Schizosaccharomyces pombe: one gene and its partners. The protein of the gene in region 1 binds, or shares a complex with, the protein of each later gene. Each region holds a gene or a part of one and is shown in the gene's direction. Other genes may lie near its edges. The genes, in order: SPOM_SPBC3H7.04, rsm27, mug178 and mrps16.

The links.
Region 2: SPOM_SPBC3H7.04 (region 1) and rsm27 share a complex: the UniProt entries of both Schizosaccharomyces pombe proteins name them as parts of the mitochondrial small ribosomal subunit.
Region 3: SPOM_SPBC3H7.04 (region 1) and mug178 share a complex: the UniProt entries of both Schizosaccharomyces pombe proteins name them as parts of the mitochondrial small ribosomal subunit.
Region 4: SPOM_SPBC3H7.04 (region 1) and mrps16 share a complex: the UniProt entries of both Schizosaccharomyces pombe proteins name them as parts of the mitochondrial small ribosomal subunit.

Annotation. Positions count from the first base shown.
Region 1 is NC_003423.3:1,871,165-1,878,481, reverse strand, and holds SPOM_SPBC3H7.04 (mitochondrial 37S ribosomal protein mS42), read left to right. Parts: upstream 1-1,700; 5' UTR 1,701-1,922; coding exon 1,923-2,585; 3' UTR 2,586-2,828; downstream 2,829-7,317. Other genes in the region: SPOM_SPBC3H7.05C (uncharacterized protein), read right to left, coding at 2,950-4,023; F-box protein Pof9, read right to left, coding at 5,162-6,200, 6,271-6,635; phosphoserine phosphatase Ser2, read right to left, coding at 7,181-7,279. UniProt on the Schizosaccharomyces pombe protein: Component of the mitochondrial ribosome (mitoribosome), a dedicated translation machinery responsible for the synthesis of mitochondrial genome-encoded proteins, including at least some of the essential transmembrane subunits of the mitochondrial respiratory chain.
Region 2 is NC_003423.3:3,066,461-3,075,262, forward strand, and holds rsm27 (mitochondrial 37S ribosomal protein mS33), read left to right. Parts: upstream 1-5,793; 5' UTR 5,794-5,933; coding exon 5,934-6,169; intron 6,170-6,234; coding exon 6,235-6,272; intron 6,273-6,325; coding exon 6,326-6,333; 3' UTR 6,334-6,527; downstream 6,528-8,802. Other genes in the region: snoRNP assembly factor Naf1, read right to left, coding at 1-1,037; SPOM_SPBC30D10.14 (dienelactone hydrolase family protein), read right to left, coding at 1,536-2,285; pyruvate dehydrogenase e1 component beta subunit Pdb1, read left to right, coding at 4,083-5,183; gpi1 (pig-Q), read right to left, coding at 6,528-8,489. UniProt on the Schizosaccharomyces pombe protein: Component of the mitochondrial ribosome (mitoribosome), a dedicated translation machinery responsible for the synthesis of mitochondrial genome-encoded proteins, including at least some of the essential transmembrane subunits of the mitochondrial respiratory chain.
Region 3 is NC_003423.3:3,443,892-3,451,597, reverse strand, and holds mug178 (mitochondrial 37S ribosomal protein bS1m), read left to right. Parts: upstream 1-3,373; 5' UTR 3,374-3,707; coding exon 3,708-4,385; 3' UTR 4,386-5,082; downstream 5,083-7,706. Other genes in the region: ade9 (trifunctional formate-tetrahydrofolate ligase/methenyltetrahydrofolate cyclohydrolase/methylenetetrahydrofolate dehydrogenase), read right to left, coding at 1-2,227, 2,495-2,631; AP-2 adaptor complex subunit Apl1, read left to right, coding at 5,266-5,292, 5,339-5,547, 5,585-5,630, 5,684-5,929, 5,974-6,092, 6,137-7,523; rpl1603 (60S ribosomal protein uL13), read right to left, coding at 7,680-7,706. UniProt on the Schizosaccharomyces pombe protein: Component of the mitochondrial ribosome (mitoribosome), a dedicated translation machinery responsible for the synthesis of mitochondrial genome-encoded proteins, including at least some of the essential transmembrane subunits of the mitochondrial respiratory chain.
Region 4 is NC_003423.3:554,085-561,737, forward strand, and holds mrps16 (mitochondrial ribosomal protein subunit S16), read left to right. Parts: upstream 1-1,740; 5' UTR 1,741-1,808; coding exon 1,809-1,885; exon of another isoform or gene 1,886-2,314; coding exon 2,315-2,495; intron 2,496-2,761; coding exon 2,762-2,794; 3' UTR 2,795-3,164; downstream 3,165-7,653. Other genes in the region: sre2 (membrane-tethered transcription factor), read right to left, coding at 1-40; osh42 (oxysterol binding protein), read right to left, coding at 4,251-5,141, 5,189-5,390, 5,919-5,944, 6,067-6,079, 6,147-6,208; Ca(2+) transporter Rsn1, read right to left, coding at 7,420-7,653. UniProt on the Schizosaccharomyces pombe protein: Component of the mitochondrial ribosome (mitoribosome), a dedicated translation machinery responsible for the synthesis of mitochondrial genome-encoded proteins, including at least some of the essential transmembrane subunits of the mitochondrial respiratory chain.

The DNA of each region.
Region 1 (7,317 bases):
CCAATTAATACTTACGACATCATTGAGAAGAAATGTTATAAATAGACCTTAGCTAAACTGAAGGAACATATACTCTCAATTGCAAAAATGGTTACTAAAACCGATGTATTACGGTTAGTTGTATTACAAAAATTTATTTAAAATGTATGTTAGTATGTCATCAATTATTCATGCTTCTTGTCCTTGATTATTGTTATATATCTTTTGAGCGCACATCAAATAAATTAAACGGATTGGTAATTACAAAACAGACATGCTGAGTTTGTGTAAAAATCATCGCTAATTCTAGGTGGTATATTTAATCTATCCTATAGAAGAAATTACCTTTACTCGTTAGTAATGTCTCGTACCATTGACACAGTCTAATACATTAGCAATTAAAAAAGACTGTGGCATGGCCTGTAAAAAATACGCATCTAGCTCTTATTTTGGATAAAAATAAATAAATATGTGACTTACTGAAAAAATTGTACCAGGGTCAGATGAAACGTTGAAAATTATTCGCTTATAGCCCTGATCACTAATGGCATGTAATCCAAAACTAGTGGATAGTGAAACAATCTTCTATTTTAACTATAACCAGATAATATTAAATTTAAAAAAAGTATCCGTAATCCATAAATCACTTGTTACTGTTGTGTAGAGCCTGAAATTGCAACAAGACCGGGCTTGGCAGCATGTATGCATACTTGGGTTATTCCGTCTAAGTTTCAGCAGTTCTTCCTTAATATAGTAGTAATCTTTTTGTCTCAAATCCCATATTTCTTCTAGCTCAGCCCCAATGGTAGGTATTCTTCAAAAACATTTGTATGCAGCTAGTTATTCCCTATTTCGCTTGTAAGCATATGAAACAATCCCAGTAGCCTCGGCTAAAAATAACCTTAAACTTTTTTTTATTGCCAAAGCAGCTTTTTGAACGATGAAAGAAATGAAGCTTCGAAAAAAATGCAGTGCACTTACAATTTTAGTTAACTAAAACTAAAAATAAATGGTAGATGTTTCCAATCCATGAACGGTGTTATGAACCTGTATCAATTCCTAATTAATCGTTAGCGTATGGTTTCATAAACGATTAATCACGAATGTTTAGATCAAATTTGAGTAAGCTTTTGAACAATTAGGCTGCAATCTAAACGGTTACATAAAAAATTTGAGGGTCTCTTGAATTACTGAGACAAAAAAAAAAATCGGGCTGTTGTGGGAATCGAACCCACGACCACCATCACCCTAAGATGGTATCATACCACTAGACCAAACGGCCACAATTGTCATTTATAAACGTTTAACATATTTACAGTTCTTTCACATAAAAGTTGTGATCATTCGAATATTAAAGTTATTTTTCTTCTTCTCAAGTCAATGAATCTTCTTATAAAAGACGAAGTAAATTTGATTGAAAATGAGTCATACAGCTTACTTTTAAATTGAATCATGGTCATATTGGGAATAAAGGCTTTTATAATCCACCGTTTAAACCCGTTGAACGCTTTAAGATTACTTTCACAATTTTTTTTGGGAAACTTGTTAACAAATTCATTGTAATACTAGTTAAGTTTCAACGAAGTTTTAGATTTCTGTTAATTCAACTTCAAAAATTTATATAGTGGTATAATGGTATATATCGCAACAAGGAATGCAGAACTTTCATACCGATATTTTACTTGCGCCAGTAGGGCTGCTTACCTCTCTCTGAGCGGTCTGAGTGGAACGCCTTTACCAATATTGAAGTTGAAATATTTCAAACATTCAAAAACGTAGCATCTACACTATTTGATTTTCATATTTTGTTAATACTTAATGAATTAATTATACAGTTTGGTCGTCTTTGCCAATTTCTTAGGATTACAAAATTTAAACCCGCATACTTGATTTCCATTGCAGTTTTTTATACCCATTCCCTAACTATTACCTCAATTTAACAAATGAGTTTTCAACAGCGCTTCGCCAGAGCGTTGGACGTGGGCTACAAGAATTTTTTGTCAAAAGATGCGGTCAGGAATATCTTTGCTTATGACAACCACTTACGAGGCCTAGTACAAAAAGAATGTAAAATTCATCAAACTCCGTATCGTGTGCCTTCAGATTTAATGGTTCAAAGCGCTAGTGACCCAGCCCGCGCTAATTTATTCAATTACTCTAGCCAATTGGTAAATCATGATTTTTTCTTTTCCGGCCTTATTTCTCCAGAACGGCCCTCTGCAGATGCAGATTTAGGAGCTATCAACCTAAAGCCTGGAATTGATGCATCCTTCGGTTCATTTGGTGAGTTGAAGTCTCAAATGGTTGACGTTGGCAATTCAGTTTTTGGTGATGGTTGGCTGTGGTTGGTATATAGTCCAGAAAAATCTTTATTTTCCTTATTATGCACGTACAATGCGTCAAATGCCTTTCTTTGGGGAACAGGATTTCCTAAGTTTCGTACCAATGCAATTGTACCGCTTTTATGCGTTAACCTTTGGCAATATGCGTATCTTGACGACTATGGTTTAAATGGTAAAAAAATGTACATTACAAAATGGTGGGATATGATCAATTGGACGGTCGTCAACAATAGATTCCAAGCTACGCGCATTGAATCCCTTTAGCTAACCCGACTGAATCCTGCACAATTTTCAATCTTTTTCTACTTCTCTCCCCTCCTCTCCCGGCTACGTTTTGTATGCAAGTGATCATGGTGGCTTACTATGGGTTCACTTTATCTGATTGAAAAAACCCATACTATTAACAAATCTTATAAATAAATAAAGTTTTGTAATTACTGTTGGCAAAGAATGAGAATTAGAATGCTAAATGTAATGTTTCCCTCTATATATTATTTAACATTCCAACAATATCTACGGAAAAGTTAATTTAGTTGAACCATCCATTAAATGTATAAACTAGGACACATAGCAATTATCTGATACTTTAGAGGTTTCGGAAGGTCAAACATAGACATTAAACAGTAAATTAAATTTGCGAGCATGTTTTCCACTTAAATTTTAATAATACGACTCCCATACCATATGTTCCATTAATAAGCATTTCGATTATTAGGACCCAATAATGATATTTGCGCAAGAGGGGAATCCTTTTTTCAAGATTAATAAGGAAAGGTTGAATTAAAAGCTGAAAAAAGAAAGCAGGTGAACAGCGTCCAGAAATTGACCAATAGGCAAAGTCATGGAATAATGCTGAAAGGAAAAAACATGAACAACTTGCCAGAAACTTACTTCCAGTGAGGGCAATAGTTGGATCCCAAGCAATCACTCTGAAATAGGGCTTGGTACAAACATGCCAATCTCTGGACCAAAAATCATTAACCGAGGTGGTTTTAGATACATTTCCCATCATTAATGGATACTCTGCAATATCCCAAATTCCCAGAGGAACAAAAATAATGGCGAATAAATAGTACAAGGCATTAATAAACAAATATGAAAAGAATCCAGAGGTTACGCAAAATGCGACTTGAATATACCATGGGTTGGCTGATATAGGAAGCAACATCCAATTGGATAAACGAGTTTTAAAACAATTGACAAAACAAAATGCACCCACATAGACAGCAGTACGTATCCCCAAAGATTTGTAAGTCAGCACTTTTCTACAGTAAGGGGGAACCACGTCGTCAGTCCAACCATACTTGCGCAAAGAAAGTGCATAATCAACAAAGTTCCACCTAGCGTTACGAATGAATGGTCGACGACGCTTAACAGCGCTGATTTGTACAGGATCGTTGCGAGAAGGTACCATATCTCGCCAACTCAAAAAGCAAGTTCGAAGCGACATCATAATGAGAAAGCCATATGCCAAACCAAATGTAGAGACATCCTTATAACCAACATGGTGATAGACAGCACACATGCGATACGCCAGTATAACCGTGATGGAACATAACAAAGTGCAGGCGATTTTCCACCGGCGAAAAAAACAAAAGGTTTCGACAAGGTATGTAGCTAAAGGGAATAGATTGAACAGAAGGATGTTATAAATACCTGTGACTGGAAGTTTGGAAGAAGGATCGAAAGAAAATGGATACATGAAAGTAATTGAATTTTAGATCGTGTTCGTAGATGATCAAACGCCGAAAACTTTATAGTGGAGGAATAGGAAAGGAAGAAAAGCAAAAAAGTAAGAAAGAAAATTCGCAGTTAAAACAAAAGTGAAGAAAAAGAACAGATAGGGTAAGACAATACAAGCAACACTAGACGAGACAAGACAAGACAAGGCGAAACAATAAGAAAAGGCAAACCACACTCTATATAACTATGAGACTTTATTTACAATCAATCAGTCAACCGACAAAAATATGAAAAAAAGACAATAATGATAAAAGAAAATGACAAAATGCTTATTGAAAGAAACAAAGAACAACGATGATGATGATGATGATGATGAAGGCAAAGAAAAAAAAGTGTTATAATATAGTTGTTAACAAAAATAAATCAGACACTGTGGAATTACAAATAAATCAGTAATACTTGCTAATTGCATGAAAAGGAAAATAGCATCCCGTAATCTTCAATTGCCCTTCAATCAATCCACGATTTTTTAAATCTGGAAATTTTCGCACAACAGATTTCAGGTACAAGGTAGTCAACCCAACAAGAAAAAATCGTCTCTTAAGATCGATTTCTGCCTGAAAATACCGGTTTTCTCGACACCTGGATCTGTAAACAAAACCCCCAAGTTAGGGTCGCCAGAAAAAAATGGGGTGGTTAGGAATATTACAAACCACCAACGCAAACGACAAATAGAGAGCAAGAGCCCAACAAATTTTGACCACCGAGGATTTAATATGAAAATCGGTAACCTTCCTTACAGTCCAAATCAATTAAAAAAAATAATAATGTTTGGTAAAAACTCGTCGTAGTAGCACAGTAACTTAATTCACAGGGGTCAGGAATATAAATTGGTCAATGTGTGTACTTTATGTAATTGCGATACAGGAAGAAGGAAAAAAAATTTTCTCACTTATTTAATCACCGTTGTGTTTTCCTTGTGCTGCTTTTTTTTATAATTGGCTTACCTAGAGGAATTAGTAAAAATAGAGATAAATTCGGAAGTCCGAGGTGGCCGAGATATTTATTTATTTCACTTACTTAGCGGACAAAATAAAATCCTTCTCTAGTGCGCACGCGGAAATTAGCTTACCAAGCAAAGTTGATCACTATTTCACCTAGCCGTCCCTTTCCAAAGTCCGAGTCGCAGGGGCAGCTAAAAAGCGCAACGCTGGAACTCTGGATGGTCGGATGATAGAAAAAGTTGTAATTGGAGGCACATTGACTTCGGGTAAAACAGATTCCGAAATGGCGAGAGCAGCACTTTGCCATCCGCCGGCTGCAACTGAATAGCAAGTTCCTGAAAAGTGAATTTGATGTGGAATGGAAACGATGTTGCGTGCGGTGCGTGGATCAGAAACAATGCTGGGATCAGATGTCTGTTCTTGCAAATGAAGAGAACCCAAACCTAAACACCCACAATAACGTAATTCAACACCCCACGACCATATGGAATGATCGCTTGTTAAGTAAAGATGATGATGATCGCCATGCGCCAATTGCTTAATTCCTCGGTTCTGGAGAAAGTCGTGGATAACCGGGTCATCATCGACCTGCTTGGTATTAGCATGACCCATGTAAACAGTATTGCCATCGTCCGATAAACATGTGAAAGTTTCAAAGCTGCCTGCTAAATGCCAACCTTGATGGGGGTCGTGCGAAGCGAACCTCTTCAATTCTCTTCCTAGCGTGTGTTGTGTAGCTTGGTCCAGGTCTAAACGAAACACGGCGCCTTTTTTCTGAGGTGATGCGACAGTATACACTAGGAATCCTGCGCAGTGAACATAATCGTTCAGCACGAATTCCTTCATCGATGCCTCTGGCTGGAAAAGTTGCGCTTCACTTTCTCGTCCAGTGTGCCAGACAAGAAAGCCAATGCCCGGCACATACGCCGAATGCGAGTCCCAACCTGATTTAAAATTAGCAATTCTTCCGCGATAGGCTGATAGCATATTTTGTTCATCTGTCAAGCAAATTCGTGTTTTTAGAGATACTTGATACAAGTGTCCCGTCTCACCGAGTGCAAGACAAAACTCTCGACCAGCATGGATTTTCACAATTGGCTCTAAATCTCTCATCAATTCGGGCCCAACATTGTTTGGTACCCCCGTAACATATAAATTTCCGTTTTCATTTAATAAATACATCCCATAACCTCTAAATTCCGCATAGGGAATAGTTAGTCATTGTAGTGCAGTCAAATAAATTCCTGTATCTATGCGCTTACCCAACTTGAACCTGAATAGTAGAACGAACGTCCTTCCCAGTCAATGCACCAGGACGATCTCGAGGATACTGATTTGTATTGACGACGCGGCCCAAATAGTTTCTTATCTGTTGCCCCCATGAGTAAGCGTATCCTCGGTCTTTCCATACAGCATAGGGTCTTTTGTAATTATCATCAACAACTGGGACTACATTGGTGAGACCTTGGACCCGTGCACAAAATCGATGCCAAATTGTTTTGTCGTCAAAAACATACGAAAGTGACTTGCATGTTTCTGACAAATGAACTATATCTTTATAATCAAGATATGTACTAATTTCTAGCAATATATCGTAAGAAAGCTCCAGGAATGGTGATTTAGCCATAATGAATCTCGCATGGGTAGTAGTATATGAATACCTCTGAATATATACAAGGGAAACGGTGTTGAAATACGTCAAAAGCACATGTTTTCTGCAACTCTTAATAACTAGATACAATTGTATTATTTACAATTAATAAATGATAATAAAGAAAGGTCTATGAAACGAAGGTGTAGTCATTGCACGAATCAATTTCAAAGTCTATCAGCATAACGAAGCAGATTTAAGAGTAAATGATCGGCTTTATAAAAACCAATTGAGTAATTCTTGTCTGTTTTAAAGAAGAAAGCTTCTGAACTGCCCCTTTTTTTTTAAGCATTCATTGCACACCCTTTCCAATGAAGCATTGATCATACCAAAATTGTAAATTAAGGAAAAAGAAAAATAAGAGTATCAAAAATAAAGAAGTAGGGTATATAAAAGACGGCTCCTACTACAGAAAAAAAGACCACGCGCACAAGTAAAATATTGCTTTATAAAAACCAAGCCACAGTAGCTCAGAGTTCTTGACAGCGCCTTGCGATTGAAAAATTCTTGGAAATTCTAAATTAATTTTTGTTTTCCAATAGCTTTTTTTGTTGTTGCTCATCAATACCCAAGAGGTAAAGAGCGTTTTGCAAAGATGGAAGATTGATTTTCGAATCAGCCTAATTAAAAAAAAAAATCGAGTTAGTAAGATCATTAA
Region 2 (8,802 bases), 1.2 Mb from region 1:
TTTATATACTTAAGCGGTTCAGGATCTATTTTATTAGCCATTGTAGGCACATAAAAAACCGGTCTTCCCATGCAAGCGTTTATCGCGGAGCATTCTTCTTCAGTAGAAAAACGGACAATATAATATGGACTAGATACGGGACCAAATGTCTCATGAATATAGCCTATAATACTTCTGTCTTCAAAACATAAAACCGTTTTTTCATCAAAAACAATCTTTTCATCGTCGATATCACTTTTCACCACTACCTCTCGCTTCAAGACTTGTATAATTTTTCCCAATGGTTCTATTAACGAATTAGGCTGAAGTACTATTTCTGGCTTCTCGTAAATTTGTTCCGGTAACTCATTCACCGTTTTGGGAGGAGTACTAGGAGCCATCGATTCCGCATCAGACTTTTCCTCTGCTTTCTCTTCTTCTACATCAGTTTCGGAAAAAGAAGTATTACTCTCTGAATCTGAAGATGAGTCTGAACTTAAATCAGCAGACGATTTACCAATAGAAGAGTTACTATGCGTAACCTCCGCAATTTCATCAGCGATTTTTACATTGGATTTCTCGGATGAATTAGTAGCTGGAATGCCAACTTCTTCGTTGCTAATGAACTCCTCTTTTGGCATGAGCAAACCTGATGATGGAACAACACAATCCTTTGGGTTAGCCAATGCAACATCCAATAAGTCGATTTTGTTCTCATCTTGATAGTTTTCCTTGTGTTGGTTTATATCTTCTGTTGAAGAAAATAAAATTTCATTATCTTTTTGCTTAATTTCGCCAGAATTCGCTGAAGAAATATTCTGAAAGTTAACTATGTTCGGTAGATTATTTTCAGTATTAGTATTCAAGTTGTTTTTATCGATTGGGTCGCCCTGTGGGGTATTGATATTATCGATAGATAAATTTGAAGGAATTTGATCTTCTTTTACAAAATTTGATGAACTTGCGTTTGTAGACAGTTGCTTCGATTTTTCAACTTTCGATTCATCATCATAAATCAACGAAAGCCCTGGTATTTTACAAGGGAGATGCGGATACATAAAAACGCCTTTCGAAAAAGTTTTCGGTGCTTTCAATTACGGGATTTGGCAGAATATACTGAGACTAAGTTAGCAGGACGTAAATAATAAAATTTGATTTATATACAATAAAAACATTATATTCATAAATAGAAATAAAACTAAATATTAGAATTAAAACTAATACAAAATGAATTCATCTCTATGCAACATATCATAGGCAGTGAAGCGTAGAGTTACTCGCAAAAAAATAACAGTGGCTAAAATTTTTAACTGATTTTAAAAGCTATTTTGTTCACGATCCTAAAAAACATATAAATTTGTAGGAAACAGTACTAAGGCATCTAGGTTGAGCAAACCTCAAAATATGTTACAGCCTAAGTGAATATTGGAAGCTTCACCTGTTTGTATTGTAAAGCGTACAGCTACTGTATCGAATAGTTTAGGTCATTAGTTAATAATTGGATTAAAAAAAATCAATAGCGATAACAAATCATGACTATCTAACAAACATCAAACTCACATTAAAGATTGGAAAAATGAAGAAACCTTTTGGTAGCCTTCATCAAAGCGCTTCCTTTGTTCGGGGTTGGAAAGGTCTGCGCGAGCAGCCATCCAACCATGGAACATGTCGCTGAATGTTTCGAAGGAAGACTTGGCATAAGCGGGGTTTGTCTTGAACGCTTCTTCCCATTCTTTGATGATTTTAGCATCTTCGTCTTTAGAGCAAAGAAACAATACAGGACAATGAACATTGGCTGCATCAGCGCTATCAGGGAAGGAAGGGTGACAGCTAGCAATTCCAACGAAATCAATTGTAGCGGGATAAGTGACCAAAACTTTAGCACCCCAACAAAATCCATAAGTGCCAATAGTAACATTTGGTCCATGGTTAGCGCGCACAGCTTCTACAACTTTAGCAAGTTTCGGCCAGTGCAAATTAGGAGAAATTCTAGTAGAAAAAAAATCATTGCATAACTTTTGGTCCTCTGGCGTCTTAGGGGGTAAAGCAGTAACTGGCAACGGCTTTCCCTCTAAGAAATCGGGTAAGTAGACGGTAAAGCCATCATCTGCCAATTTATCAGCACCCTCTTTAATTTGATCAGAGAGACCAAATATATCCATGAAACCAATCAAAACACGGGTATTGGAAGTAGATCCAACAACATAGGTGGTCAATCCTCCAAAGTTTTCAATTTCTTTACCCTTAAAGGTATAGGACTTGTTAGAAGCTGCGGCACCACGACTTGTTGGACAGCAAGAGGCCATTTTCTTAAATTAATCAATGGTTCGTACAAAAAGTAACTGTACAAGTTTATTAAAAAACCACAATAAAATGGTAAGTTGGGTGAAATTTCGTCAGTACTGTTGGCTGTATATATATATCATATCATACACATTATGTCAAAAATCGGCATTGCATATATTATAACGATATTCTCTATATTTCCATGGAAAATAATATTATGTATCAAATAAACACTGACTATAATTAATAAAATATACATCCTTTTTAATTGCAAAATGTATCGCGAGTATTAAAATTGAAAGCGGATTATTTTCTTTATTAATGCTTACACATAAACACTGTGTATCCATGATATCTTACGGCCGCATGCTTTAGTCCTTCATAAGTGTTATCCAAAAAAAAAAGAAAAAAAAATACAGCGTATGACTATTCATAACAAGTATACAAAGTAAACTTTTTTTCCTCTATCATCAAACATATATTCTGAGAAGTTTGTGAGTCGGTTTGTTTAGATGAGAAATAATAAACTTGCAGTTATGACACAATACCTACCAAAGATGCTATACACGGGACATACATTTATTAGTTGGGATTGCAATCATTAATTATCGTTTAAAAGTCTACAACAGTTGGTTTGCATCTATTGTAAAAAGAGGATTGTAGCATGCCAAATTATGAATTTACGGTCTCATTGAACGTCAAAGGCGGAAAAAACCAGGAAAACTTTAAGTAGTTAAGCTATGTACTTTTGTCGAAAAGTTTATGTCTGAACATTTATCTCTAAAAACGCCTTACCTTTGTTAAAGTCTTTAGAAAATGTGAAAAACTGCAAATTAAATATTGGTCTGTAGCTTATAAAACTATCTTCAATCTTTAATAATGCAAGAAATAATTTTTTGACTTCGCGTACCAAAGAAACCCTTATAACGCGTGTACTAAATATAACTTTTAAATAATACTGTCAATAAAAAGTCCGAAGTTAAAAAAGGAACTTTCTTTCATCAATTTCCAACTATAACTATTCAATCTGTTGTTGGTTTAATCATCAGAAACCATACATTGGTTCAAGGCTTGTTTATACTCAATGCTGTTGACCATTAAATAAAAAAAATTCCATGTCAAGCTAACGAAATTGTTTACTTTTATTTTCGCTAATGAATTATGTAGTTTATCATAATACAAAGCAGCTTTTATCTCTACATGGCTAGTACAAATCATATGGTGATGAATTTACTGTTATGAAAATAAAGTAATGCTTTAAGTATATTTGAGGGCTTCAAAATTCATAGTCACTGATGCACCGGAATCAATAATCCGTGCAATTATGCATCAATTTGAACCACAACTTTAGGCTGTTTTAACTTCTCGTTCATCACCTTTTTGTCGGTGTTTATGCTCTGCTTTTCGGATATCGCCCTTAGGAGTTCAAACGATCTATTGCGGCAATCAATTTTGAGCACCGTATCTAGTGATAACAAATTATCTTTATCGGTTAAGCACGTTATTGCAGCTGCTTCAGTATGTACACATTTCACTATTTAGCAAAAATAAGATGAAACAAATGATACTACTAAGAGGTTATAATCATATCAGACTGTTTAACCATTCTTTTGTCATTTGCAATAAACACAAAATTTATAAAAGTGGTAGTATTCTTGTTAATCATCTACGTACTGTATTTAATTTGTTGTACCATAAGCCAACTCGAAATATTTTACCATCACACTGTTCTACTTTGCCCACTACACATATACAACAACACAGCGGGATAGCCCTAATTTTTAACGAAGTTAAAAAGAAGTTTGAGGGAATTTAAAATGATTCGTCTTCAAAAGTTTGGTGAAATTGTTGGGACCAGTCGTTCTTGGAAACTTCTTAGTTCAACCATCGCAAAGCGCTATTCTTCTTCTTCCAATGGAGTGAAGGAAATGACCGTTCGTGATGCTTTGAACAGTGCAATGGAAGAAGAAATGAAACGTGACGATCGTGTCTTCTTGATTGGCGAAGAGGTTGCGCAATACAATGGTGCTTATAAGATATCTAGAGGTTTATTAGACAAGTTTGGTCCTAAACGTGTTATCGACACTCCCATTACTGAAATGGGTTTTACTGGTTTGGCAACAGGTGCTGCTTTTGCTGGTTTACGTCCTATTTGTGAGTTTATGACTTTCAATTTTTCCATGCAGGCTATCGATCATATCGTTAACTCGGCCGCCAGAACCCTGTACATGTCTGGTGGTATTCAGGCTTGTCCTATTGTCTTCCGTGGACCTAATGGGCCTGCCGCTGCAGTTGCTGCTCAGCATTCTCAACACTTTGCTCCATGGTATGGTAGTATCCCTGGTCTTAAAGTAGTTTCTCCTTACTCAGCAGAAGATGCTCGTGGTTTGTTGAAGGCTGCTATTCGTGATCCTAATCCCGTTGTTGTACTTGAAAACGAAATTCTTTATGGTAAAACCTTTCCAATTTCGAAAGAAGCGTTGAGCGAGGACTTTGTGCTTCCCTTTGGCCTTGCTAAGGTGGAGCGCCCCGGTAAAGATATCACCATCGTTGGTGAGTCTATTTCTGTTGTTACTGCTTTAGAAGCAGCTGACAAGCTCAAGGCTGACTATGGTGTTGAAGCTGAAGTTATAAACTTGCGTAGTATTCGTCCTTTAGACATCAATACTATCGCGGCCAGTGTTAAGAAGACAAATCGTATTGTGACTGTTGACCAGGCATATAGTCAACATGGTATTGGTAGTGAAATTGCTGCTCAAATTATGGAGTCTGACGCATTTGATTATCTTGATGCTCCTGTTGAACGTGTAAGTATGGCAGATGTTCCCATGCCTTATAGTCATCCTGTTGAGGCTGCTTCTGTCCCAAATGCCGATGTTGTTGTTGCTGCTGCTAAAAAATGCTTGTATATTAAATAACAAGCTCAATTGTTGAGTCATCTGTTTAATAAAACCCGCTCTTTTCCCTTTTCCGAATAGTTGATATCTACGTATTTCGCTTTCTATTATTTTTACATTATCTACAAAGTGTAAATATCTAAGATGCTTGTCTTTAATGACTCAGATTATTGTGTGTGGGTCTTAGATGGTTTTAATTTCTTTGCAATTATTTGCGAAGATATGATTTTTCCAACCATCTTTCCAATTGGTTATCCGGGTTGGTATATCTACCTTTCAGGATAGTTTTGCTTCGTTTATCCTTAATATATGTTATATTGTATATATTACTAAATTCGTGTAAGTTTTTTAACGTAATCTGAAAGCCAGTGAACTTCAATTATATTATATTACAGCTAATGGAAATAATACGCTATATGAATATGTTCAACTATTTGGTGTCTATTATACTCTACTTAACTACTCGTAACCTCTTAAAGCGTAGAATATTAAGTACTTGATCCCACTAAACCTATTTACAGGTCTATCTTTAGTCAATGCACCAAAATGTTTCCATGTGGGGTTGATGAACTACTTATCCCACATCATCCGCTGTAGTATATCTAAGTAGACTTGCGCTAATAATACTTACAATAACAGAATTTCAGAATCCTTGCAGATGAAATCATAGTAGTGTCTTTAGCCTTATTATTGTTGTTTTTATTTCGTTTTGCCTTTAACTTTAAGCAACCACATTCCCTAGGAGCCTTCCCTAATTTTTGGTATAAAATCATGGCTAGCAAAGCAATCCTGGAAGAATTAAATATTCTCTCATCAAAAATATTTGGCACTCAGTATAAATCAAACAACTCGAGAACGGGTCGCAAATTTGTAGTACAAGAGCTGAAGGGAGCAAAACTGAAGAGCTACTATCCCGCAACTATCAATTATCGTCAATTAAGGACCCTTTTAAATGATAAAACATTTCCCGATAGTGATGAGGAATTGCGAATGGAAATCAGGAAAGGGTATGTTAGTTGTTAATTGAGATTGAATGTTTCTTTCACAAGAAATTAGCTAATTAAAATACTAGGAGAATACGCCAAGGAAAAGGAGCCTCCAAGTCAAAAAGTATGTAAAGCTTACTATAAAACCGAATTAGGAACCTTCTAACTCCTGTTTAGAAAAATAAATAATTGAAAATTGTGCCTTTCTAATACTTTGCGGTTACATTTCGCACATTTTCTTTCCAATTATTATCAAATGGGTAACGGCTAAACAGCTTTGAACGAAACTGATAAACTAAGTTTAATTATAAAAATTTTGTTGTTTCATAAACAAAAAATATTATATATCAACTGTGTGCAACAATACTTAACATTTTGATCAGTCGTAAGGAAATTTTTTCTGATGAAAAAGAAGATCTCGCAGTTTTCTAATAGATATTCTTTTGGTCGGAAGCATAGCGTACTGGATATTGTAGAGTTGCTCAGCAGGTATCGCTGGAACTGGGCAACCTACGAGCAAACTAATCAAAGTAGTTTTTGAAAGGTAATGCGAAATTAACCTACGCGCCAGTTTCCGATAATGCTCAAACATGGATCCAAGAGACATCGGTTTGGAGTTGCAATTGAGATATAGCGTTGCGAAGCCGTCTTGTTTTAATGGTTCAAAGCTGACTATCTCAAAATTCAGCCCACTTGGTATTCTATAAGGATCTTTAATTCGTAACATTGTAACAAATAATGGGAAGTGATTCAGGAAGGCTAACATAGTTTCACAGATTGCCAAGCATGTCATCACGGATACTCGTGTTAATGCAAATGCTGCATAGAAAACATATATTGTAGGTAAGAAGAATATTAGTACCGTAAAAAGGATTGTTCCTAAAAGTAGTTGGTCTAAATCATACTCATATGAGTCGATTCTATTTCGTAAAACGTTTCTTTTTTTTCCTCGAAAAAGCTGCAGCAAACTATAAATTACACGTAGCTGCCAATTATACAAACGTGATGAAGCCAAATAAAGCAAATGTATATGAATAGTCATAACACTTAAAAAATCAGAAATTAAAGCGATCATTAAACTAGCACCCCCAAACCCAGAAATAGCGACAACTTGAACCAAAAATGGAGTCCAAGGCAAACAATGCAAAAGAAAATTACTCCATACGTCAATAACCCATACAGAAAGCTTCATAATAAACTTGCAAATGTCGTTGTTTAGTTTTAATCCAGCAGGAGTATCCACGAGCCATATAACCATAGAACGAACGTTTTTTATCGCATACTCGAATGTGATATTTTCTATTAATTTTACCACCAGATGAAGATTCTCTAAAATAAATGAACTCATTGTAATCCCAAAGATCATGTCATTCGCAACCAACCAAAGGTTGTTATAGAATCTAATATATTCTTTGTAATCCTCTATCGCAACGCGCTTGCTTTTCCGAAAAACCCATAATTTCATATATTGTACAGGCCAAAAACACGCTTGTTGCAACCTCAAATCTACTTGACGAGCAGAAACGAAAATATCCATCATATTATAAGATAAAGGAATCGGTCGGTAATTAATCGCCAAGAGTATAACCTCATTAATTATCCTCAATAATATGATAAAGTAAGCAAACAGCGAATTAAAAAAATAAAAGGTTGATGACGAGACACGATCAAAAAGTCGAAAAACATATGAATTTTTTTTGTTATTATTTTCATGTGTTAACATGCGAACCTCGAAGGATTGATTAAGAAGCTCAATTAAGCCTGAGCGTAGACTCCTTTTCCAGCTATTTTCTTTGCGTCGGGGAAAGTGCAATTTCAATTTTTTTAACAGTATTTGCTGGTGTTGCATGCTTTCGTATTCAGGGTTTGACTTGTTAATAAAACTATCTTTTAACAATAAAAGCGATAGAGGTTCAAGGGAAAGAAATTGCATTTTTCTTGGCTGCGGAGGATGATAATAAATTATATGCAGATTTATTTTTAAAGGCGTACTAGCCGAATCGAAAACTCGGGGATGAGAAAGCTCAGTCGATTGCTGCACTTTGATCCAACAATCAATTTCATATTTGTCACCCGGCAAAATATCGGCAGAGCAATTAAACGTGCCTAATATACACAGAGATTTAATATCTACTGATTGATCTTGATTTTTGCAATAATCAACTAAAAAATTAGCGAAGGATTGATAACTAGTAATTGTTGTCACAACGATAAGATCGTTGGTAGAGTACTTCCAACCAACTAAGTAACCAGAATCGGTATAAGAGATCGTACTTTTGGGCCAATATATCCGTTTCACTTCAATTGGAGCCGAAGCTATATTCATGGTTGTGGTAGACATTTGAAATATAATATTGAATGCTCTGAAGTCAATTCCGAAGTGTTTAATAAAAAAGACAAACAAGTAATAACAGACTTTAGAAGCATACAAAAAACTTTTGTTAAGAAAAATATAACAGGAGATGATACTGCTCTCTCCGGTGTTTAGAACTCAAGTTGTAAAATCAAAAACTTCCTCGACGTAAAAGCTGTTCCCTTGCAGAAATGCCACCGCTAACTGACGTTGAGTTACGAGCTTCGGATTCAGCGATTCGTTCTAAAAGAATGAAAATAAAAAATCCTAAAACGGTAAACAGTAGTACGTATGAAGGAAC
Region 3 (7,706 bases), 1.6 Mb from region 1:
AACAGGAATATTGAATTTATGACAATTTTGAATGTGTTTTACCATGTTGGAACATCCATTCTTTACAAGGTCTAGATTTTCAACAAGATATTCCTCAGGAATTGGGGCACCAGGTTTTAACTTGGGACCGCCTCCATGTAACTTAAGCGCTTTAACAGTGGTAACCAAAACAACGGTGTTAGGTACAAGTTTTGAGTATCTACATTTGATGTTAAAGAATTTTTCCATTCCCATGTCAGACGCAAATCCTGCTTCGGTAACGACATAGCCGGCATCTTCGGGTCTGTCAAAGCTTTCTGTACCAGCCAATTTTAAAGCAATTTTATCAGCGATAATAGAAGACGCGCCAATGCTAATGTTTGCAAAAGGTCCTGCGTGAACAAACGCTGGTGTTCCTTCCAAAGTTTGCATCAAGTTAGGTTTGATAGCGTCTTTAAGCAAAACGGTCAATGCTCCAGAAACTCCAAGGTCGCCAGCAGTAATAGCATTTCCGTATTTGTCGTTGGCTATAACCATACGGGATAAACGAGAATGCATGTCGTTTAAATCACATGAAAGAGCCAGAATTGACATGCATTCACTGGCCACAGAGATATCGAAAGAAGTTTTACGGACATGTCCCTTTTCAGTTGATGCTTTTCCAACCTCAATAGAACGGAGGAATCGATCATTGACGTCCAATACTCTGTTGCATTCGATGGTGTCAGGATCTACGTTTAGCCGCACAAACTCTTTCAGTAATTCCGGTGATGCGTTATTAACATCTTCTGGATCCATGTTATGAGATGCGCAAATACGATTCCACCTACCGATCAATCCTCGTGGAATGACTCTTCGCCCGTTTTTAACAGGGATCAAACGTTTTATAAGGGCAGCATCAGATTGTGTGTTTTCATGAAACATCCTAGTTTCAAGAGCCGCGACTAAAAGATTATTTGCTGCGGTAACAGCGTGTATATCTCCAGTCATATGAAGGTTAAAGTCATCCATAGGAATAAATTGTGCGTAGCCTCCACCAGCGGCGCCTCCTTTAACACCAAATGTCGGCCCTTGGGACGGCTGACGGACACAAGCAATTCCAAGCTTACCCAAATGGCCCATAGCTTGAACCAAACCAGCAACAACTGTACTTTTACCTTCGCCAAAAGGTGTAGGAGTAATACCACTTACAACAACATAGTTCCCATCTTTTCGGTGCTTTAAACGTTCATAAACAGCAAGATTTACTTTTGCCTTATAGTTCCCATAATTTTCTAACTCTGTGTCATAGATACCCATCTCCTTAGCAAGATTGCTAATTAATTTAGGTTCTTGGGAATTAGCAATTTCGATATCAGAAGGAACAGGCTTCTTTAACTCTAAAGGATTTAAGTCAATTTTTCGATAAATGTTTTCTGTTCTAGCTATCTTGGCAGCGTTTACAATATTTTCCATTAGCATAGCAACAGTCATCGGTCCGACGCCTCCAGGGACAGGAGTAATGCTGCTAGCAACTTTGGATGCAGATTCGAAATGCACATCGCCAACCAAAACGCGTTTTCCATTTCTTTGAACAGCGTTTATGCCAACATCTACCACAACAGATCCTGGTTTCAACCATTCACCACGAACAAATTCGGGTTTGCCTAATGCTGCTATAACCAAATCAGCATTAGAAATGTGCTGAATTAAATCTTTAGTTTTAGAATGACAGACAGTTACTGTAGCATTGTCCTTTCTCAACAAGTAGCTAATTGGATTTCCGACAATGTCACTTCTTCCCAGAACTACAGCGTTCAATCCAGCGACTGAAATCTTGTTATCTTTTAATAACTCCATAATACCTTTCGGGGTACAGGGATAATGAATGGGGGTAGCATCATTCTTTGCCAATAAACCAATGTTAAATGCACCAAATCCATCAACGTCTTTCGGCGGAGTGATAGATTCAGTAACTGTACGCTCATTGAGATGCTTGGGAAGAGGAAGTTGGACAAGGACACCGTGAACCGTATGATCGTCATTCAATTTTTTTAATTCATGAAGCAAGGCAGGCATTTGGATTGTTTCAGGAAACGGGCAGTATTTAAAATCAATACCAACTAATCGTGCCGCCTTTTCTTTCATTCGAACGTACACGTTAGAATCCTCACGTTTTCCAACCTGTACAATGGCAAGCGCCGGCTTAAAGTTTCGATCCTTAGCTTTCAAGGCCTGCACTTCTTCAGCAACAGAACGTTGTAATTTTCTAATTAGTCGCTACATTAGTAACCTCAAAGAGAAATAAAAATATAAAGTTTTAAGAGCAAAAAAATCTGATGAAACCTCAAACGTGCTGCAATGCCCAATACAATTTTTTAACTTCTAAGTATCGACAAAAAAATTGAAGAATATACGGAATTAAGCAATGTACGCAAATCAATTTTCAAACCACCAAAATTTTATCGTCAAAGACAAACACAGAAATGCACGCTCATCTGCATAGAGAAAATTTAGAATATAAACTTTATCTTACCTTGCCAATAATTTTCCATTTAGGATATTCGCAGAACTTGAAGTACCATACGACTGAAAAAGCCATTTCGATGGCCGTAAGCTGTTGCTTTCTAGAAAATAGTTTCGTAATTGATTAAACGAAACCATTACGTTCATAGAAAGACACCCAGAAGTGGTAGGGTAGTAAGGGAACCTGCCTGTCCTCTGGTGGTGTGTTAAAGCAAAATTTTTATTGGTAGTCAGGTAATCTATGTTGAATAATACGCTTACAGTAGAATATGAACCGAAACATTTTAATAGCGATTGTATTAAAGCAATGTATTCATTCTCGTATAATTTATTCTTCAAGCTCGAATAGTGACTGGAACAATTGCATTATTGCAAATCATAATGTATTGAACAAGTAATAATATACCTAAGCCTTTGAGATAGCTAATAAGCACACAAATAGTCAAAGAAAAAGTTTAAAAATCTGTTACATGATATACAGAATCTCAAGATCAAATATAATAGACAAATATAAACAACAAACGATCTGACAAGCAACTCATTAATTATCAGTAAATAAACTTAGACTAGAAAAATCATATAGTTTAGTTTAGTAGAGATAAACTCATTAATGAACAAGGAAGAACACACAAATTTACCGAAAGTTAACCTTTATAAGTTTCACTTTTCTTATGATAGCCATACCTTTAGTATTACTAATTTATAATTATAAAAAAAATTCCCGTTAAATTTAATAAGTACAAGCTAAAATCGTACTCAGTCATGGTTTACTCGAGTGTAAACAATTAAAGCACTCTGTTTCTCTATCCAACAGTGTGCGAGTCAAGTAACATTGCTACTTGAGGAGAGTGAACGTTTACTACACAACATGCCGACATGACCTCCTAACGAAAGCGATTCTATAACTTCAAACTAGCTATTGTAACATTGGCCATAATTTTGTATATTAATAGAGAGAATTTCATCTCGTATATACTTTTCATGAGTGTGCACACTTGATGTAAAACACTTCGCAAGCTGGATTGCACGACAAAAGTATATAAATAGCTGGCATCAAAAAATTACAGTCGTATTCGTGTGTTTTCTGAGTGATTGCTATTGATATTGACAATATTGACTCATTAGAAGTACCCACTTTCGTTCAGCAGTTACTTTTCGGTGGTGGTTTACATTGGGCAGAATTTGGATGTTTCTGACAAAGTATATCTTTAATCAAAATTATAATGAAGTTTCCTGATTTGTTGAGATGCTCCCGAGCAGTTAGTTTAGCAAGACCAGACTTGCCGAGGAACTCCCCTGATGTCTATGATACGAAGATTCCCATCCTACAAGCAATTACTGCGAAGAAATGCCAAAGATTTCGCGGCGATTGGGGAGCTAAGAGGAAGTTACCGATCCTAAAAAACCGTCATATTTCCATACAAAAGTTTGACACATTCGAGCATCAGTGTGCCTTCATCAGCAGTGACAGATTCGTACGCACCTTGAAACGAATTTACGACCTTAAGCTCCCTGTTCCGCTTAATGATTATGAACAAATTTCCCCTTACCTTTTACAGAAATACAACACTTTCTCAAGCTCAAATCCTAAATCCAGACCTACACTTCCACCAGGTATATTATACGCCAAATTGAAACTTTTAGATTCTTTTTCTGATTCTGAAAAGAAGCGCCTAAGTTTAGTATCCTTTATTCAAACTAAAAAAGTCCCGTTACCATTTACTTACGGAAAATTTGCACCCGACTCTAAAGAATGTTTATTTGGTGTCTCAGGAGTTATAGCTGCTACTTCTCTCAAAGGAATTACTTCAACAAAAAATCGATACGTAATTCGATCTCTTAATGTCGATGAAACCGGTAAAACCATTCCAAATATCACACGAGAAAATAGGAGTATTTAATACCATAATACAAGTTGACATTGACAATAAAAAACAGTAAAACGATTATTTCTCCCGTGAGTCACTTCGGTTTTCTTAAAACAATAGCTTTTCTTTCAAGGAATTGTTTCTTAATATTGTTTTCGTCTGTTGATAATCGTCTATTATGAAGATCCATCCATATTTAACATTTATTTCATCTGCTTACGATCCTGAGTTTTTGAGTTAGGGAAATTAATTGCACGGACTACTTTCTCCTTGAGCTATCATGATATGCCTTTAAGATCATTAAATATTTTTAACCGTTATTTTGCATTGTAGTGAACCGCTTTTTTCTCCCTCTTTTTGTTCATGGAGAGATTCTATACACCTATTACTTTTTCTAGGAAATAATATTGTCAACAAGCTTGTTTATTATTCCCACCATTCTTGTTTAAAAAAGATTGAATTTTTATTGTTTGTTTTTTGAGTGATTTTAACTTATTTTGGTTCTTGTAATTTTCGTTATGGCCGTATCGCATTACTGGAAACCTACGATGTTCCTAAGGGTGTCCGTTTATATTGAACTCTGTTTGGTTTATATTATGTACGCACGTGCTAAAAAATTTGCATAAATAAATTAATAAGCTTATATCAATCAACGCTTCCCGACAGTGTATTAAATTGTAAATCCGATAAACTTTGTAAACGTCTTTTGAATTTGCTTCTTAATTACCCAGTTACTCTAGTACCTACTAAGAGATAAAATCGTGTTTTATTAGCAATCATTATTTTTCTTTTCTTCGTACAATCTTTTATTCAAGCATTTTACTGTAACTCGTTATTTTGCTTTGTACAATAACACTCAGTATTATACCACAATACATTTTGAATGTTAACACGTACATAGCATGTTGTTATAATGTCGAGTAGTTCAAGTCATTTTTCGGTAATTTAACTTTCATAAAATTCGGAATTACTAACTTAAACAAAAGTCTACCGCTGCTGATTTGCTAGCAGTCTTCAGCTCAGATAATAAGGACAAATCTGCAAACAAACGAATTTCTGCTTTAAAGAAAGCAATTGCAGGCATATCTTATGGATATGATATGAGTTCACTGTTTCCATCGGTGATATCTTCTATGGAATCTAATAATCTAGAATTAAAAAAACTATGCTATTTGTACTTGAAAATTTACGCGAGGTTTGTAAAAGTTTCTTTATTTTTTACTAATTGACAGCGTGAAACCCACAGAGGCGAAGAGAGCTGTTAAACTTATTTTGAATGTAATTTTCTAATTTGTACATCTCTTATGATGATGGATGTTAACCTCTTTTAGGACATTTATTCTTCCAACCCTATGATTAGGTCCTTAGCTTTAAGAACATTGACATCGGTAAACATCAAAAACTTTTGGGTTGCTGCTATGGATCCAATTGTAAGGTTATTAGATGATACAGATCCTTACGTTCGAAAAACTGCAGCCATTGGGATTGCAAAATTGTACTCCTATGATAAAAAAATGGTGGAGTCATCAGGATTAATCGATCATTTGAAAGAAATGCTTAGTGATGAATCTTCGGTTGTAAGTTATACGATTCTATTACCTTACTAATTTTTTTATATCAGGTTGTTGCCAACTCTTTAGCCGCTTTAATGAATATCGTAAATTCATCTACTGGATTTAAACTCACATTCAGTAGGGAAATATCTAATAAACTTGTTAAGAGCCTCACTGATTGTTCGGAGTATGTTTTTAACCTCGCTGTATAAATTTATACTAATAATTCAGGTGGCTGCAAGTTGCCATTTTGGATGCTTTAATTTTTTATGTTCCCCAAAAGCCTGGCGAGGCCGAAAGCTTCGCTGAACGTATTAGTCCTTGGTTACAACACGGCAATGCAGCTGTGTGCATGGGGGCTGTAAAGGTTATTCTTTATTTAACTAATTACATGAAAGATGACAATCGAGTTAAAGAATACTTTATGAAGACCCAACCTCCTCTTGTCACATTGCTAGCTAGAAAATCATCTGCAACACAATATGTAATTCTGAGGAACATTCAGATAATATTGGAACAATGCCCAGAAATGTTTGCAAATGATATACATTTTTTTTACTGTAACTTTGATGACCCAATTTACGTTAAGCTTGAAAAATTGGATATCCTAACCAAAATTGCTGATATTCACAACTTAGATCAAATTCTTCCTGAGTTCGTCGAGTACGCCTCGGAGATTGACGTCGAACTTGTTCGAAAATCAGTGAAATGTATTGGTTACCTTGCCATAAAAATTGAGGAACGAAAAAATGACTGCATAGATAGCTTAATTGAATTGATGAATACGAAAGTCACCTATGTGATTCAAGAAGCAGTTATTGTCATTAGAGATATTCTTAGAAAATACCCAGGAAGCTACAAATCATTGGTTCCGATTCTTTACGAAAATTTGGATTCCCTTGATGAACCTGATGCAAAGTCTGCGGTAATTTGGATACTTGGCCAATATGCCGAAGAAATTGAAGATTCTATAACGCTATTGAATGATTATCTAAAGGGTTTTTTTGATGAACCCTTGGAGATTCAACTCACTTTGCTTACTGCGGTGATTAAAGTATTCTTAAAAAAACCAACTGCTGCAGCCGATATGGTTACCAATGTCCTCCAGTGGTGCACTGATGAAGTTAATGACCCCGATTTGCGCGACAGAGGTATAATATACTCCCGAATGTTGTCAGCCAATCCTGAATTAGCAAAAAAAGTCATACTTGCTAACATGCCTCCAGTGAATGTTGGAACTGGAATGTACGATCCCGATACCACGGAGCAACTAATGCTGAATATTTCCACACTTTCATCTATATATCATAAGCCCCCTAATCGTTTCGTAAAAGGGGCTCAAGTTGCATATTGTGAGCCTAGTCCAGTGTTACGATTGCGTACTCGTGACTCTAATCCTAGTAATACGGATTCACGAGAGTCTAATCATAAGAAATACAATCATTTTCATCAGAAATCACAAACTAGAAGGGTAATGGAACAATACGATCGTAATTCTTGGAATCCTTCTCCATTTTCAGATGAATCCAATTCAAATACATTCTCGGGCAAGTTTGATAGTGCAGATCAAGAAAACCTAGGTATGCCAATGACTCCTGAAACACATTTAATGGATTAAACTATATTTTTTAGTTTATCATAGCATTTTGTCGATGATGAACGTTGGAAAAACTTTTCTATTTTCATTAACTCTTTTAAATTATTACAATACGGTTGGATACATCTCTGTCATCACTTTCCAATTATAAAATATCTAGCAGATCACATGGTGTAATTAATATCCAAAAACAGCGAGCTTTTC
Region 4 (7,653 bases), 1.3 Mb from region 1:
GATGAATATCCTTGAGCGACGAGTGTTGGGAAGGACACATAGCGAAGCGAATACCAAACAGTCGTTTTGGATATGAGTCAAGGAGAACGAAAGGTATTTATAGGTATTTAAAGAATGAAAAGTTTCCAAGACAAAAAGAGAAAGATTAAAAAAAGAAAAAAGAAAAAACACTCAGTAGTAATGGAGAGAATTCGAATTTCCGAACTTCTTGTTGATGAAACGCTAACCGCAAAAAAAAATTTAACAATACACCGTTTAATAAACGAGAAATTAGAAGAAAAGCGGGATTATTTCAAAAAAGGAGAGGAAGCGAAAACTAAAGGAAAGATAGAATGGGTGGAAATTGTAGTAGGAAAGCAAATAAAATTGGAACCCAAGAAAACGCCTATAGTAGTTGTCTTTGAGCGAAGGAAAGTATAAAACAACAAAAAATTAGGTTTTTCCTCTTTCAAGTTGAATTATTATGAAACCGGGTTGAACAGGAATCTTCAAGGTAAGCGACCCCAAGAACGCACTCGTTCACGAACTAACCAAGTAAACGAGACAAGATGAACAAGCTTGACAGGATAAACAATGAAAGAAGAAAAACTTATAAAAACTAAATATATAAAGGGGAATATAGTAAAAATTGGCCCCCAAGCTGCGTTATAAGGAATTGACAGCAATTATATGATGACGGAGAAGAAAGGAGTAGAAACTGACGCAAGGCAGGATGTAAACGTCAAATCTTCAGGTGTTCCGATATGTAATGAGTCTTAAAACTGCTACTAGCCTAAAACCTAGCACCGTTCATCCACAAAGCGATGTCCAAAGAAACGTTTCAATCCGATGTTCCTATTTTGCTTGAATCCGTCGACACAACACACTGACTTGACAGTAACCGGGAGTACGATGGCAAAAATCAATGTCAGTGGATCCAGCAATTCGTAACAACACCAAAAGAATGGGCAATTCAGAACAAGATCAAAATGCTAACTAAAAGAAGCCTAGGTGTTGGGAAATCTCAAAATACCAATTAACCGAACTCCCCAAACAACGATTCGTACGAAAGCAACAAAAACCCTCTAAGATTCAATCAATAGCTTTCTTGATCACTAGAAATTTTCAAGAACGGATGGAGTTAAATATTCAACAGGGATGCGCAATCTACGCGAGTCTTAAGTTATGTTTTGCTGTCGCTAAGTAGAATTTATGGGAGGGAGGAAAAAGCTAAAAGTAGACGAAGCCGCTTAAGCTAAGGAATGTCTATAGCGATTAACATTACGTTATAAGGATTGCGTGGTGAAAAGAAGGTTGGCAAACTACGCATTACATGAGTAACGTTCGTTTATGGTATCTCGTATACGCATTCTACAATCGCTTACAGTATTCCTGTTTAGCAAACTCGATACAAGCAAAGCATACCTTGAACAACGTGGAGAATGCTCGCTTTGTAGTATTCGTGTTACCGTAATTCGTGCTGTATCTCACTCCGGGGGTAGTGAATATGATCAATTCACACTGCTTATAAAGAGAAATAGAGTCAGCAGGAAGTAGAAAGATAAATGGAAGGAAAAGAACGTAATTTCTATCCCAGAAAACGTTTGAAATGATCTTTTGAAATTATGTTTTGTTTGTAAGTATGAACGAAAAGCAAGGCACAACGCTATTTTATAAACAACGGAGTGCACAATACGATACGTCCATCTGCTTTCCATCCTTGATACCTGCATTGTCTTCGTGTTTACTCAAGTTGCTCTTAACCATACTCCTACCACCAAGTGGGAAAGACGGGATTTGTAGGACTCGTTGAAAACCGGCTCTTCTCAATGGTAGTAAAAATTCGTTTGGCGCGTCATGGCGTCAGAAATAGACCTTTTTACCATATCGTAGTTGCGAATGCATGGTAAGTAGGATGAAAACATACCTAGACGGTTGTTTCGTGTTTTACAACACTTGTAGCGGTTCACGTAAAGGGGAAAGTTTTTGTACAGGATTTAGTAAGGGAGATGGCTTGATGTGGGTTATGAAAGAATGGAAGATAAAATGCTAAAAGACTGCTTTTTTTTGACGGTTCCTTTGGCTCTAAATTGCGATCTTTTTTAGAAGCTTTAGTTTTCAGGTATTCCTGGATGCTCTCATCTATTTAATCTAGTCTTTCTACATAGTATTCAAAATGCCAAGGACACCAACCACAATTTTTCTTATTAATTGACTATTTATTGTGGTTTGGCCCCCTTGGCCTCTATTAACTGTTTACATATCACCTGTACATCCTTTTTTTTCTCCTTCATCCATTCCTGTCTTTTGGTTCGACTTTGTTAACTCAATATAGGAAAGCACCTCAAGCCAAACCTATCGAAACCATCGGCACTTTTGATCCCATCCCTAAGAAGATTGATTCTCAGGACTCCATTCCTCGTATAAAAGATATCCAGCTCAACGTTGAACGTTTTAAATATTGGATAAGTGTAGGAGCACAACCATCCGACACCGTCCGCTCTTTAGCTGAAAAGGTATGCCCAAGCTCTCTTTATCTATTTTTATGACTAGTCCAAATTCGTTAAACTTTCTTTCAACTCTCTTTTTTGACTAAAATTTTCGACCCGCTTGCGATATACCGCTCGGGTGATTTTTCTCATGTTCCCTAACTGCCCGGCTTTCCGAAATGGAGTGTAGGATCTCATCCCTGTTTTCGTTACGATTTGGCTACTAATTTACTTGTTTTACTTCTTTCTATCAATCTATCAATTCTTACTAACGTTACTTTTTTCACTTTTAGTTCCAGTTGCTTCCTAAAAAACCCGTTTCTTGAAACTCACTATAATCGTTATTGCTCAAGTCATGACATTTCTTTTTTACGACCACTTCACAATGTCTAGATATCTTTAACACATTTTTTATTTTTTTTTACACTTTATCTCTGTGATCACGCTAATTACCTCTCTCAACTAAATTTCATAATTTTTGACCGATTTTACCCTTCCGTACTGTTTTTTTAAAACCACGTTTTTTGGCTGAGTGCGATATTTGTTTTCTTTACGATTCTTTTTATTACAATATCACCTTTTTTTTTTTAATTCCTTCTCCACATTATCGTTAGCGTAGTGATATCTTAATTTCTAAATTTTTTAAAGTGTCTATCTATCTGAGGTTATGCGCTAGTTGAAAGCGCTCATAATTTGATGCTATCCATTTGTAATTACTTGTTGCTTTGTACTTAAAATTGTTTGGTAATGAGAAATCTTGGTACCAATATTTTGCCTTTGTAATTTTTAGCTTTTGCGTTTATGGTTAAAATGGATCTTCACTTTATACTGAAACTTCATTTCGTTTACTGATGTTATACCCTTATTTTTTTAGAAACAAATTAACAGCTTCATTTCAAATATTTAGGTTAATATCGGTGTATCTATTATTGCTTAGATTTTTGGACTTTCCGTTCGGAAACGGCAATGCGCTTTGTTGCTTTCCTGATTTCCTCATTCGTTTAATTGGAACTGAACACGTTCATTAATAGCCAATTGCAATAGTTGTACAATTCTAACAAATCATTCCTGTACTTCCGTTGAATTTATAAAAGACTTGTCTCAAAGGATTTAAAATCGTTCAACAATGAATATTAACAACTTAATCGTTTGTAACAAAATATTATAAATGGTGAACTAGCCTTATAAGCTAATTTATTAACTGTACCAGAAGCAATTTACTTTGGTATTATTACCATATTTCATCAACCAGTCCAACTCTACACCACTACATTTATTCATGCACCGAACAGTGTAATTTTCAATTAATGCATTAAATACAAGCTAAACATCACAAACCAAATAGTATGTAAAAATAAACTTGAAAAAGAAAGCGAGAAATCACTTAATGAAAAAAAAAAATCTACTACCAAATCTCGAAATGAGTATAGATCAAATTGCAATGCTTTTTCCCTGACATGCATATGTGTAACCGACATATAAGTAATAAACTAGTATACCGCATAGATAATCTAAATGAAAAGTGCTGATTTCGTACTAAAAGCCAACCGTTAAAAGAACCTTTAGTAAAATCGTTGATCGTAAAACTTCAGTTGAACGTTTAAAGAGCGAAAGATACCTATATACTTTCAAGCATTATTTTAAGCCCTGATTGCACAACCAAGAGAGCTTTTGGGCCAATCCTCCCAAAAGTAGAAAAAAGGACACTGTTAAGGACGGAAAACTATAGCAGCCCGAAAAGCACACATAAATTTAAGAAACAAAAATATAAGTAACACAAATTTATTCCATCCGTTTGACAGGTTGTTCTCCTGCTGGCAATGAAGGATGAGTGTCACCAATGTAAATCCAGAAGCCTGGTTCAATAACTTCTAAAACAGCTTGGGCTAAAGCATTCCTGGCATCGCTATCATGCTCTTCCCATTTGAAGTATCTTCTGGCCCAAACTGCTCCCTCTGCTTCTTCTTTCTTACGCATATCACGTTGTGATTGTTCGATTGTAGACTTTTTCGAGCTTACAATATCATAATTACCACTGGCTAAGGCAGCGGACACTTCTTTCCAAACATTTCGAGACTCCCAGTCTCCCATTTCTGATTCAGGCTTGACGGTAATAGGAGTAGCTTCAAGACTAGGGATGCTTAAGAAAAAAATGGTACTTTTCAGACTAGGAATAGTCAATTTAGATTCGCCAGTCCATACACCTTCAACAATATAATCAGGATCTTCATTTTTCTCAAAGATAGTAGCCTTGAAAGAATTCTTGGTACCTCTGAAGTAACCTCGGCCGGAATAATCGATCTTTGTAATATAATTTGTGTTGCTAACAATATAAGTCGAACCGTACAATTCAATATAAGGTGCCATAAACCACAGTCCTTCAAGGGAGATATTGGGCAGAGTTATATAATATGTCTCATTATACTTTTCAAGATGAACACGAAGCTGGCCGAGTTGGTTGACGTATACAGTTCGTCCTGAAAATCCACTTCTGTATTTATTATGCGTATCAACGGTGATACCGGCTTCCTTACAAACCACATGAGCAGCTGATTCAGGTCCGTGATGGGATACTTGCTCGGCAGTAAGCTCCACTTTACCCTTGCTAGAATCCCATGACCCATAAAAAAGCTCTCCCAAAATAGGGTTCAACGGTTTCTTTTCAGTACCATACTGAAATTTTGGTTAACATTACATGATAAAATTTTATAAAGACGTACGTTCTTATTCCGGGATGCGTATTCACGACTAAGACCAGTTATGTACCACTTGAGAACAGCCAGCATACGTTCTTTAGGAGTGGGAAAATCGACAATTGTTACGAATAGCTCAGGAAACTCAAACCAATAAGACATGTATTCGAGCAAAGATGTCCCTGATAAAATGAAAGAAGGAGCTGAAAGTGTGGACAAGTCACCAGTACTGTGAAGTAAAGTTAGTATTCAAATACAGATTAAAAAGAGCAATCGACATGAGAAAAAGACAATTCCTCTCTGAAAAACAAAAAGAAAAAAACTAGAAAGTTATGAGATGGAAAATTAAGAAATGGCGCTGGAAAGTCCTCTTTAATGTTAGACTCGAAAGGACAATAGCACATATCAATATGAAAGCTAAAGGCATGACAAGCAAAGAACATGAGTAAAAAACAATTTAACAACAGCAAAAATAAGCACTTGTCCATATTTTGACGCGTTATTTCATTATCTAAACCAGCCAGCCATTTGAAAGCCGGGCAAATTGCTGGAAATAAGACAATTATAAGCAATTTTACGCTTAAAAAAAGTTCCTTTTATATTTCAAATTTTTACAAAAATCACATAGATTTGAATGAAACTAAAAATCGAATGAACATTTCCCGTTGGAAAAGAATGCATCGTGTTCAAATTTACCTTTTTTTTTTCTCAAGATACCATATTTCCAATTTTGTTTCTTTTAACTGAATATACTTACAATGTAGCCAAGTTCTTGATGAACCCCTTTTTTGAAGAAAAAGTAAGTAAAATGTTACAATGTCAAAGAAAAAAGTAAGATTCCTTGCATAAGGCTGAAAGCAGATTGATTATGCCTTCAATCTTATAGGACTCAGTACAATTCATACCATCCAAGTGCTCCTATCATAAGGAAAAAACATGTTAGTAAAATGTAAACATTTGATTAAAGAACATATGTGGTACTTACTTAGAAATGGGTTCATTACCAGATTGCACAGTCTCTTCCATTTGTTCTGATGTTTCCGACATTGTCGATCGTGTAATTAAATGCTATCGTGTTTGGTAAAAGAATAAAATCGACAGACCATGGATTGGGCGATGTTGGTTCGACTGCTCTTGCTTAACGCAGTCCTACTATTCTCCTACGTCAAAATAGTGTCATTTTACAAAGGGTACACCATTCTGCACTGTAATTATACTGCAGTAATGACTTTATTATTTAAATTATTTAACGTGGTTTATCGTGGTATATAAAAGCTGCAAAATGGTCAGTAGAAGGCACGAAGGATCGTAAATAAATGACTATTTATGAGCAAGCAAAATACATACGAAGCTTTTCTTATTTGATTAGCATTCTTTAATACATTATGTATAATATTTTTTACATAGAAAGGTTGTATGCCTTGCATATTTATACCTAGCAGATTCGAAACTGCCAGCTGGTAGACGCATGTTTTTACGACTTTTTAACATAATCGATGTTTGTTGAAACTAATTGTTTATTTAATTATTTAAACAGTTAAAGTACAAAAAAACTTCAAGCGCGCCTCCATTTCTAACAAACTACTACTCATTATTGTCAAAGCAATCTATTCAAATGTACCAAACTATCTGTTATAATTACAAGGTTATGGTGGGAAAAGTAATCTTGTTGGGAAGAATTGATTTTAACATAAAGTTAGCTATTGCCGAACGATAAATCACATGTTCGTTTCAACAAAAATGACATTTGTTGCAAAGGTATAAAAAGTTGTGCGAAATAAGAAAAGACAAAAAACATGATCTTATGACAAGAAATGTTAAAAAAAAAAAAAAAAAAAAAAAAAATTGGGATGGGATGAAAAGAAAGGTATGCAGACATAAACAACAATAAGCAAAGGGAAAATATAAGGAGAACGAAAGAAAACAACGCAAAAGAGATAACCAAACAGATGGCTATCAAATTAATGAATGAATCAAACGCAAAATAATCAAGTAAACACCACAACAAAATCTAGGTGATTCATCTTCATTTAAAAAGGTCGGAGAAGAGACCTAAAGAATACAAGCACACTTAAATTCTTCTCAAGAGCTCACAAATAAGAAACGGAGCATAGAAAACAAATGTTAAGCAAAACAAAATCGGTTGAGAATTAAGGAAATAAAAAGTTTTCAAATATGTATCTTTGCCAAAGTAAATTTGAACAGTTATAAAGTTTTTGTACAAAAGCTCGAATTCCAAGGAAAAGTTTAAGTTACCATTAAAAAATGTGGTAATATTTATCATAATGTTCGGAGACATTGATTGGTGTAATTTCCGTACTTTGGGATTCAAGAGTTTCTGGTATACTAATTTGAGAATCTTGGGTAATAGATTCTGTTAAAGGCAGCTCCTCCTCATTCAATCTAGCTCTTAAAGAAACACCACGGCTACGAGTATAAGATCGGGACAAATTTTTCTTGAGTTGCTGAACTTGTTGCTGATCATGCACTTC